Oryzias latipes: one gene and its partner. Each later gene encodes a partner of the first gene's protein in a complex. Links are inferred from orthologs where the notes say so. Each region holds a gene or a part of one and is shown on either strand. Other genes may lie near its edges.

What was found. The genes of interacting proteins can lie anywhere in the genome.
Region 2: the proteins of kif1bp (region 1) and kif15 are in contact, whole or in part, in a cryo-EM structure (PDB 6ZPH), measured with the Homo sapiens proteins. The link is inferred for Oryzias latipes from reciprocal best matches to the Homo sapiens genes KIFBP and KIF15. Residues at the interface, in NP_056449.1 of Homo sapiens: Lys26, Tyr33, Lys36, Ile106, Glu109, Ile147, Ser150, Glu151, Glu153, Thr208, His209, Tyr212, Tyr213, Gln216, Gln219, His220, Phe224, Gln238, Glu248, Trp249, Ile251, Asn252, Thr255, Gln258, Phe259, Asn262, Tyr415, Val416, Thr417, Glu421; in NP_064627.1 of Homo sapiens: Leu187, Glu189, Ile191, Lys192, Lys193, Arg231, Glu232, Arg235, Arg271, Met280, Arg281, Leu282, Lys283, Glu284, Ala285, Gly286, Asn287, Asn289, Arg290, Leu292, Ser293, Gly296, Gln297, Ile299, Ala301, Val303, Asp304, Val305, Gly306, His312.

Annotation. Positions count from the first base shown.
Region 1 is NC_019861.2:24,160,071-24,165,113, forward strand, and holds the end of kif1bp (KIF1-binding protein), read left to right. Parts: intron 1-331; coding exon 332-406; intron 407-1,161; coding exon 1,162-1,324; intron 1,325-1,448; coding exon 1,449-1,623; intron 1,624-1,690; coding exon 1,691-1,876; intron 1,877-1,989; coding exon 1,990-2,128; 3' UTR 2,129-2,956; downstream 2,957-5,043. UniProt on the Homo sapiens protein: Activator of KIF1B plus-end-directed microtubule motor activity. Required for organization of axonal microtubules, and axonal outgrowth and maintenance during peripheral and central nervous system development.
Region 2 is NC_019880.2:12,225,469-12,231,791, reverse strand, and holds the start of kif15 (kinesin-like protein KIF15), read left to right. Parts: upstream 1-2,751; 5' UTR 2,752-2,887; coding exon 2,888-2,906; intron 2,907-3,184; coding exon 3,185-3,215; intron 3,216-3,567; coding exon 3,568-3,754; intron 3,755-3,863; coding exon 3,864-3,940; intron 3,941-4,587; coding exon 4,588-4,625; intron 4,626-4,703; coding exon 4,704-4,801; intron 4,802-4,898; coding exon 4,899-5,078; intron 5,079-5,245; coding exon 5,246-5,455; intron 5,456-5,541; coding exon 5,542-5,667; intron 5,668-5,750; coding exon 5,751-5,873; intron 5,874-5,977; coding exon 5,978-6,125; intron 6,126-6,203; coding exon 6,204-6,295; intron 6,296-6,323. Other genes in the region: tacc3 (transforming acidic coiled-coil-containing protein 3), read right to left, coding at 1-3, 90-127, 213-322, 404-568. UniProt on the Homo sapiens protein: Plus-end directed kinesin-like motor enzyme involved in mitotic spindle assembly.

The DNA of each region.
Region 1 (5,043 bases):
TGTACTATCATATTTGTAACACATGAAATATTGGGTTAACTCACTGGGGACTGACTGGATAACTGATAATAACCCTGCATTTGTTAAAATTGAAAATTCAAATAAAGTAACTTTTGAGGTAAATATGCTTTTTCCTGGATTTTGATACCTGATGTCCAGCCCTGCTTTGGAAGGTTGTAAAATTCGCCTACTAAAGTTCAGCTATATGAAACCTTTTTTTTTTTGGTCCACGGCATTGAAGCAACACAGAAAGTACATTTATAAGAGAATTAAAATCCACCTGTTGAAAGGATCGTCTTTTTTTGCAAGTGAACCTTTGTTTTTTTTCCAGGTTTCCTATTTGTTCCCTTTGGATTTCACGGAGGCCAGAGCCATCTTTCTAGTGGGACAGAATTATGTCAACCAGGTATGCATAACAATTGATTCATAAGTCCCAGTTATTCATGAAATACTCCACATCGGCCAATTCCTTCGCAGAAAAATAATGGAAAACACACAGCAGCTAATCTGTAAAAATCTATTTAATTTTTTTTTCACAAATTCTAACAACATTTTAAGCTTTGATGCATTATTTTTGTTTTATTGTTGTTTTTTCAAGTTTATAGAATCTGCAGTTATTACAGAACTGAACTAAAAAGGCTTAAGAACTAGATTAATTAGCACTAACAGAGGCTAACCTGAATCCGTTCTCTGCTTTACTCAGCTCATTAGGAAATCCTCAATTCTTTGACGTTCTTTTTAAACCAATTTGGAAATCTATATAAACCCACAGTGTCCGTGCTCAGTTTTACACTGAAACTTGTGCGGTTTGTATCTTGGTGGCATCAGATCACTTGGTTTCTGTGAGTTTGCCTTTAATGCAGTATACCATTTCCTGAAAGCCATTCATGCATTAGAAAGAGATTGCAGTGCACCACACACACACAGAAACACACACAAGCGCTGGCTTTACAAAAAAAACCAAAGATAAGTTTAACCTGGAATGAACTTTAGTGAGAAAAATCTATATCAAAGTCACTGGGTTGAGTTTCACTCTCTGTGGGTGCAGTTTCACTTCAAAAATGTTTTTGAAAGCATCTACAAAATGCTGTGTAAAGGATTTTAATTAGAAAAGCGTGTTTTTTGTACTTATCTGCATCTTTGTCTGTTATCCATCCCAAGGCAAAGGAGCACTTCCAGATGGATGGGTTTGTGACAGACCACATCGAGATTTTGCAGGACCACAGCGCTCTGTTCCGGGCCCTGGCTTTCTTTGAGGAGGATGTAGAGCGGCGCTGCAAAATGCACAAAAGAAGAGTTGACATGCTGGAACCCATCTGTAACGGTACGACCAAACTTCAGTTCGTCTTGTTCTCTGAAGGCTCATCTCTGTGATATGTTCAAATGAAACCAATAAACTGGACAGAAAAGCTGAATTTTATCTTGCTTTGTTTCTAATGTTTCCTCAGACTTGAATTCCCAGTACTACCTTTTAATCCGCAGACAGCTGATGTTTGAGCTGGCTGAGACCTACAATGAAATGATGGATCTGAAGCTAACTCTGGCCAACAGACAGGAAGATTCTCAATCTCTAGATAACCATACAATTAAAAAGTTCAACCACCTGTGTTCCGCCTCTGCCAAGTAAGCATTCCCCTTTGAAGCCCTTTTGTGTATTTTCTACATGTGAGTGAGCTGAAATCCTCTCCAGGTACTTTCAGATGTTCCTGGACTCCCTGTGTTCTCCTGAGGGGAAAATTCCTGAGCACCTGGAGGAAGACGTCCTCCGACCGGCTCTGGTGGCTCGATTCAGAGTTGCTCGACTGCATAGCAAACTGATCAGCTCCTCGCCGCCAGTTCAGCTGGACAACCTCAACAAAGCTCTAGAAAACTACAAGTACGAAAAACCTTTAACTATGGATCAAATAGGACTGGAACTAAATTTAGATGGGAGTAGAAAACTTTGATGTGATGTCTCTTTAATCGTTTTCTCTCAAAACTTTTGTCCAGGTATGTGGTGCAGTATTGTGAGGCCCACCCAGAGGCTGCAGCCGCTGCAGAGACGGAGCTGGAGTTGAGTAAGGAGATGGTGGGCCTCCTCCCTTTGAAAATCAATCGGCTGAAAGCAAGGATGGCTACGAACAACTAAAAAAGTGCTCCTTTTTGCTGCCTGGAGCTCTGCTGAAACAATGTTTACCTGTTTTCAGTAGAAAGTCAGGGACTCTGTTTGGTCTGGTAACAATTGTCCTTTTTCCTGTGAGCATGCTGCTGAACCCATTACAGGCTCTTTAACTTATGTGCTCTTAACTGTCATACATATTGTGATTACATGTCTGCTTGTGATTGTTAATAAAAAGAATATCTCACTCTTGTGACACTTAGAAATTCTTAAGTGTTGGGGTTTGTGGACGGATCTGAATGGATTGTAAACACTGAGACCTTTGTGAAGCTTTAAGGATCATTTTAACAGATTTTCCGTATGCTTTTCTTTTCCATTTTCAGTTTTGCACTATTAAAATGTCTACTTTGAGCCTATCCCATATAAATAGACGGTACACATAGTGGGGTTTTACTCAAAATTCCCTTTTTCTACTAAGTTCTCCATTTAACTAAAGTAGGTTATTCAGCTACTTTCTGCACACAAGACTTCACAAGTGCAATAATAATGGGACACTTCGAGGTAAAGAGCAGTAAATGATGTGCAAATATCTGCTTTCTCTGAAATGAGATGCCTGTGCTGCAAGTTCACAGAACAACAGTCATTACATGGACTTGACTCAGTTTTTATCACAGCCTGCGTGATGTGCTCAAAATCCATTCCAGTGTGTTTCTCTCACTGACGGTTGCCAGAATTCAGTCTGTTTTGTGCAAAGCAGATATTGTGTATAATTTAAACCAATGTTGTAATCCTTTCTAATACCATAGTACCAAGATGCATTTCTTTTAGGTGTATTAAAAAGCTGAATGTGAAATGGTATCACTTGTTTTCTGACATCTCTACAAGTTTTATCAAAAGTCTAAATACAACTTTTTAGTTTAAATCAGATTTTTTTTTATTTACTGTGATAACTTTTTGAAAATATTAATAGAAAACTTGTTCTCTTGCGTTCATACTTTAAAGCTGCAACTTCTTTGCCAAGGAAGTCTGTGTTTTGTCTTTTAATTTGTTTGAATCTATGTTAGAATAGTTATGGTTTCTTGAAATTCCTATTACGTAAGACATTTCAGACTGTTGCCGGAATGGAGTTCACGATTAAACTTAATAAAGTGGGGGTAGAAGCTGAAGCAAGATTTGCAGCCTGCAGTTGGGACTTTTGTACGATGATCTGAGAGGGTTGAAGACGGCAGAAGGAAGCCACACTCAAGTAGATCAACGTTGCATGACCTCAAAAATTTGGTATTAACCCACATGTCTGACTGCAGAAGATCTTTGCTGCTCCTTTTTACAAAAGCACAAAATAAGAAGGTGGCAGTTCAGTTTCCACATCAGATGCACCATTTGCATGTAGAATTAGTGAATAAAAGAAATAAAGTATTTTCTTCCTTGGAGTAAAAAAGGAACTGATGGTTACTAAACTAGTCCCGATTTACTGGAACAAACCCTGTAGCCATGCAAACTGTCACTAAACTGTCTCTGCTAGTTTGACCTTTGACAAGTTACAATAGGAAAAACGGATCACAGCAGCTTAATGAAGTCAACAGTCATCATTTCCCCTCAACAGTTGCAGAGAATTGGCAGCACGTATCATTTTTTAGGACAGATTGTCTCCTCTACAAATGGGTTATGTGACCCTGGTTTAATTCCACATATACATCAGCTGTGCATATTTGTGCTTTGCAAGTTCTGCAATATCTCCTTTTTTGTGTGTAAAAGCTGCCGTTGCACCATAATAGCATTAGTCATGTTAACAAATAATTGATCTAGTTTCAGGTTAGTTAAAGCACATGTCACACACACAAAAAAATTGCTAATGTAATATAATGAAAACAAGATACTATAAAGTAATTCTGATTGTGCTAAAGGTGAGACACTGCATAATTTTTCTCCAGAAATTACACCACACGATGTTACCACATCCTTTATCATGATACTGATGTGTCAGCTAAATAATTTACTCATCTTCATGCTGTGTTTCACTTCCAGAAAAAAAAAAACTTGAATTAAATGCTAAAAAGGAACATGTTTAAATGATGACATTAACAGGAAGCAAACTAATGAGCCTGCAAGCCACGAGTGTTAGATGTTAATGCTCCCTGAACTTATAGATAAGATAAGCTGTGTCTGCATTAGAAAAAGGGTTAAAATGACCTAAAATACCTAATAATAGATTTTTTTTTATGTATGCATTAGTAATGTCCTGACATTCAGATATTGGTCAGTGGGAGGTTTTTTTTTTATCAAGAAACTGTCCACAATCAAATTCACATGCTTCATTTTGTGTATGGAATCTCATTAAAAGGCTTCCTTTAACAGTCTTGAACACTCCCAGATAGGGAAGGGTGTAACAGTTAATCAAATGATCAATAAATTGATTCATATTCCTATGATCCACCCAGATTGATTTGTCTAAAGCAAGTTGTTATTCGAATCGACCTATACCGTTATAAAATTGTTTCAAAATGGGGCTGAACTTCATGAAACTAAATTGTGAATGGATTTTCCTTTAATTCTTCTTGACTCATTTGTTTACATACATATTTTATTTACACTTGATTATCTTACAATAAATGAAAGGAATCTGGGAAACTTATCTCTGAGTCACACTGGTTGGAGTTTGGGCTGAAGATCTTCTAGATCGGTTTTAGGTCAGTGAATCAGATTGAATCGGATTTTTAAAAAATGAACCAATGGACCGGATCATCAACCCCAAATAGTGACATGAATCGAATGATTAAATTGAATCATTATACCCCTAATCCTAGAGTATACGTTTTGATTCATCTTTACTGTAGTAACTTAAAGGATCTGTATGTCAGGCAGTAGTGGAGCTAGTACCTTTTATGTGAGGGGGGCCATTGGGGCCCTGAAATGCAAATTTCATCAACAAATCACTCAGGGCAGGA
Region 2 (6,323 bases), on another chromosome or scaffold:
GGTCTGTCAAAAAAAGAAAAGGTCTGTTAACCTCACTGCAAGAACAGAGACTAAACTGAAGGAAATAACTTAATAGAAGATAAAAGAACCTTGTGGTGGCTGCAAAGCACGTTCCATTGATAAAGTACTGCCAAAAGAAACAACAGGCTTGCTTACATCAGTGCAACAATTATTCATTTAGAGACACGCTGGGATCCAAGACAGTCACTTACTCTGACGTATCCACATTTAAGAACTCATCCACGTTTGAGATAGTGGCACATTTGTTGGGGGACAGAATTCTTTTGGTTAACGGGTCTCTTCGTGGGGTCTGAAAACAAACCTGAGCACAGAAATTGAGTCAACTATAATAGAGATTGTCATCTTGTAGTGAAACGTATACACAAACTAGATCAGTCTGTACCTTTATCCCCTTTGGCAGACCCTTGTTGGGCAGGTTCTCCGTCTGACGCAGGATAGAAGGTCTCCCAGTAGGTTGATCAAGAGCAAAAATGTCTTGATTCAAGCTGTTAAGTTTCCCACCTGGGAAGACCCCGCAGTTCTCATCATTCACTTCAGAAAGACTCATCCTGCAAAAACAGAAAAACAAATGAACATGCAGTCTGCAGACAGGGGGGAAACATGAAAGCTGTACGCAGCTGATAAGACACTGTAGATGTGGAAGTGATGCACACAACCAGATGTTTTTACCAGAATAAGGGCATGTGCAAGTTAGACTGCATACTTTGGCTTAAAATGATCATTGGTTGCAATTAGAAACATTGATTTGTGTAAAAACACCAGTGTCAACTGGATACAATGGTGTACATCAAGTCATGAAGTTAATTGAAATTTTAATCAACTTCAAGTAAATGGGACCTTTTTTCTAAATATTTATATCAATATTACATGTCCCTGTTGTAATAGCATTAAACCTAACTTAAATAATTAACAAGAAACATTGAAAATTTTAAGAAATAACGATAGTTAAATTAAGTGAATTAAAACACTGTCATTTGTAAAAGCTGCCACAGTGCAAAGTAACACTTAAGATTGTGTTCATAAAAAATTAAAATACCAATAAAATCATTAAAAACTATGGGTAAAAAAAAATGTGACAAAACATATTTAGAAAATACAAGAAAACAAATGACGAAACATCTCAAAGTAACTTGTAAAATAAATGAGCATCTACAAAAAAAAAAAAAAAAAAAAAGGTACACACATTGTTAAAAATATTACTGTTTTTTGTTTTTTCGGTCTTATATGTGTGTTAGATATTAACAATTGTTTATTGTGCAAGTGACTGTGAATGTCTGTAAATTGAAAAATGTACAATAAAAAATAAATAAATAAATAACACTAAGTAGTATCGTGTTTAACCACTAGAGGGCGGTAATGTTAATTTTGCAATAGGTCTTCTCAGGTCGAGGCCACATCACAACATTGAGTTTCAATTTTAAAACCCCACAACCCGTTTACGAGATATTATACATTACACTAGCATGATGTGCAAATACACAAGAATAAATACATATACGATGATGATAACTGCAGTTGTTATTACTATTACAATTTGACGGAGTTTGAAGGATAATTAGTTATTGCTGAAGTCAATAAGAAAATCTAAAATGTGGTCAGAGAAGTGTAAATACGAACACAGAAAAACAGAAAGATTTCATTTTAATTAGTGTGTGACTACATGCGGCCTGTAGTCCGAAACATCCAACGGATGTTAACAGAAAGAAAAGCAGCCATACATTTTATGCAAGTGAACGTAAAAATATTAACATTTCGTTAGATTGTTTATGTCTTATATTTTATGATTAAACTTTACTAAACCTGATGAAAGATAAACATTTGAAAAAGCCAAGAACTACCGTTGGCCAACGCCGGTTTAGCTAGTAAAAGGATATGAATAACAATTCAACAAACTCTGAGAAAAGCTATCTAATGCCGTGACAGAAATTCTTTATTCCACCTACCTCACAATAAAAGGCTGTTTTTTAAAATTACAATCTCTTTCACGCAGACATTCAGTTGTAGACCTGTCTGGATTTGCTTTTGGAAAAACCCTCACCAGCTTTTTCTGGGCTTCAGCCGTTTGGAATTGAAAAGTCTCCGAACGCACCAATAACGTGGTTTAAAGTGTTCAAACAGACGCTCTTCCTGGTCGAGTAACCAATCAGATCAAAGACCGGAAATGACGCAAAGTGGATTTTCATTTTAGGAGTAGCAGAGCACCAAGTTTAAAACTCCGTAGATATAAAAACACATACTATAATGTGATTTTATAGTATTGTGCTGCAAGAAATTTATCATCTAAACATTTTTTTAATTTCTAAAGCTTAACGTTTGGTGGCAAAATAAGTTACTCACAGTACAGATTTGCTACGCATTTAAGACCTCATAAAAGAGACCTAAAAAACTAAAATAAAAGACCAGGCTAAGACACAATATCCCATTTATTTAGAAAAAAAACTCTTTAAAAATATTGTCAAACTTTTGTTTTCAAAGAGTTGGGGTGTAGCAATATGCATTACTTCTCATACAAAATATAGACCGAATTTTAAAATTAAAGCTGTTTAAGACCCACGCTTTTAAATCTAGCTGCTTAATATACGACTTGGTAACACTTTAGTTCAAAGGTTGCAGGAGTAACTTATTATTTTTGTGTGTGCCTGTGCTGTTAAAAATAATTACCCTTTTACACCAACACTACCATTAGGGGGCGAACCAGCACCTTTTACGATGGTTGCCACCCAACGTAAAAGCCGAGGAAGACTGATTGGATAAACCCGCCAGATTTGCCGAGTGTAAACAGTGCCGGATGTTCTTTTTTCTTTTTAATCCACACGCCATTGGGATGTTTTTAACTTTTTAACGGTTGCTACGCCAATCTATAACAATGACTTCCAACGGAAGAGGTACCTTTTTTTTTACTTGGTTTAGGATTTGTTATGCTTCCATTTAAATCCGACGCCATCGTTAGCTAAGCTTTTCATGATGTTCTTTACTACACGGTAATGATGGGAGGTTCAGAAAGAAATAAGCTGTAAAGTTACGCATTTCTAACAAGATTACTTAACTCTAAACGATGGTTCGACTTTAAAATTGGTTGAAATGTTTTTAAAATTGGTTAAAATTGGTTTTCTTGAGCACCGCAAGAAGAAGATTGATCTGTTTATTATTATTTTGTAAACAGGATTTGGAGAATCATCCCTCCATTGTGCCAGGTAGGTGGTACATTTTATTACTGTTGTGGACACAAACACACACATAATACACACTTTGTTGTTGTGTTTGCTAGTAAAACCAACTTGGTTAACCCCAGGTTTTCATTTTTATGTTTCCCTTGTTTTACTTTACTTGTCATATTTGCTGTGTTATTGTAAACTTCAGTTGAATAGAACTATAGATTCGAGGTCCAAATGTCAACACCAATAAAAACCCCACAAGACTTACAGAAGATATCACATTGAATTAAAAGACGTGATAAATGTGTGTATGTAATCATAAATGATGGTTTATTTAACCAAATGCTTTTTTTTTAAAAGAGGCTCATTGTATTTGTTTGTTTGTCAACAGTTCTGATAGTGATTCTATTAAAGTCTTCATCCGTGTGCGACCTCTGACCCATGGCACCGGGCTGACCACGGATGGAGACCAGAACCTATGTCTCACAGTCACATCACCCAACACCATCCGTCTGCTATCAAAGCCAGAGCCGCGGACCTTCACTTATGATCATGTTGCTGACATGGATACATCTCAGGTTCCAGTCGCACCAATGTTGCTTTAGGAAATGTCACTTTCCTGTCTGAACTGAAATAGAGAACCGAAACTATTCCACTTTTTGATGGTTCTTTGTCCTTTCTGTGCAGGATTCTGTATTCAACATTGTGGCCAAGAACATTGTTGAATCCTGTATGAATGGGTATAATGGAACCATATTTGCATAGTAAGTAGCTTTTTGTTCAGAATTATTTCACAGTCTTTCCAAGTTGTCTCACTTAAATAGATGAGAGGTCATAGATACACTATAGCTTTGACGAAGAGACACAACGTAAGAAAAAGAATCCAATAAAACATTTTTTTGTTTTCTTTTATTTATATAATGGTGTTTATAAATATATAGTAATACTTTGCATTCATTGGTAATGTCTAATGTAGATCTTCACCAGGTTTGGATACACTGTAGCTGGTAACTATGAGATTTTGGGCGAAGACCTCCTTCGATCACTGAGAAGGAATGTCGTCATAAAGTAAAGTATTTCAAGGTTCTGAAGAGACCTAGTCAGTCTCCAGATCTGGTTCCAATAATAGAGGATCTGTAGAGGGAGTTGAAAGTCCAGCAACAGTTGCAAAACATCCCAGCTCTTCAGAAAAATGGACCAAAGTAGCAGCTGCAGTGCACAAATAAATTCTTAAAAACATCAAAATGTATTTATTTATATATTTTTTTAAATGCTGTCAGTTAAAGTGTATTTATGATGAACATAGATTTCTTTTAGTGGGACAACTTGCAAAATTGGTGGCTGACAAACACTTTTTTACCCCCTCTTTATTTTTCCTCAAGATTCTTTTTTGTCTCTTTGTTTCTTTTAGTGGGCAAACCGGCTCTGGAAAAACGTTCACTATGCTTGGTGAGGATACGCTTTCACTATTTAAATATCTTATTCCAAATATTACCTAAGCATTAACCAAATAAAGTTTTATTTCAGGCCCATCGGAGTTGGATAACTTCACAGATGAAATGAGAGGGGTTATTCCTCGCAGTTTTGAGTACCTGTTTTTCCTCATTAACAGAGAAGCAGAGAAAGTAAGTAACAACATTTTTTTTCAGGACTGTGATCTGATGTTTCATTTATAACTGTGTTTTACAACAAATGCCATACTTGTCTCTCCTCTCTTCATAGTCAGCAAAGTCCAAGAATTTCCTTTGCAAGTGTTCATTTATTGAGATATACAATGAACAAATTTATGACCTGTTGGACACGGCGTCTGCCAGCCTTTTTCTACGAGAAAACATTAAAAAAGGAGTGTTTGTTGAGGGAGCTGTGGAGAAGTTTGTCAGCTCTGCAGCAGAAGCCTATCAGGTATATAAATAATATACAGACGATTGTGAGTTCTCTCAAATCTCTTGCATCAGAACCAAATTCTTGACTTGTTGAAGTTGCTTTCGACCCCGTTTAGCACACACGCATTCAGGTTTTTGGAAAATGTACAGAAAGTCCTTAAATTATTTGTGTTCAAACCTTTTGAGGTTTTGTCTACGGGCTGGCGCAATCGACGCGTGGCCTCCACTTCAATGAACCGCGAGTCTTCAAGGTCTCACGCCGTGTTCACGATGACGCTGGAATCCAAGGAGACGAAAAATGAGGTGGTGAACATCCGAACATCTCAGCTGAACCTTGTTGATCTGGCAGGTTCTGAGAGACAAAAAGACACGCACACAGAGGGTTCCCGACTCAAGGTACAGCTTTGTTCGAGAATGGTTCATCACACCCGTATTTGCTTTTATTGCTTAAAAACTGCTGTTTTCTTTAACGCAAAATACAGGAGGCCAGCAGCATCAATCGCTCCCTCATGTGTCTGGGCCAGGTGATTATGGCACTGGTGGACGTGTCCAATGGGAAGAACCGTCACATCTGCTACCGGGACTCTAAGCTCACCTTCCTTCTCCGGGTTAGAATTTTTCAAATGTTGGTGTTTTCGTTTTGCGTTTCGTACCGTTTGCAAAAACATGCATGTTTTTGTTTGTATTTTAGGACTCTCTTGGTGGAAATGCCAAAACTTACATCATAGCCAATGTTCACCCTGGCTCAAAATGTTTTGGGGAGACATTATCCACTTTGCATTTTGCGCAGAGAGCAAAGCTGATAAAAAACAAGGTCTGTGTTATCCAGTAGCATCCAATATCCTAATGTAACAAGCCCAAAGGAAGGAGTTTAGGGTTATTTATGTGTTTAAAGAGTAATTCTTTTCCTTTTTTTAGGCGGTTATCAATGAAGACACACAGGGAAACGTGAGGCAGCTGCAGGCTGAAGTGAGGAAACTGAAAGAGCAGCTTGCACAGGTGCAGGGATATCAGGGAGTCCAGCATTCCAGAGATGTAGCTCCTGGAGGACCTGAATTCTCCATGGGTAACAATATCCCCAAAATGAACATGGAATAATTGATAACTCATTGTTTAATTAAGTTATTTTTCCCCCTCCTATCAGGTCTATCTGTTGAAAATGTTCAAGATCCGCAATATCAAGCAAAGTATATGAGTGCTGTTCGACTGTGGAAAAAGACGGAAGAGGAAAGAAAGGTTCTAAAATGTTTTTGGCGTATAGAAG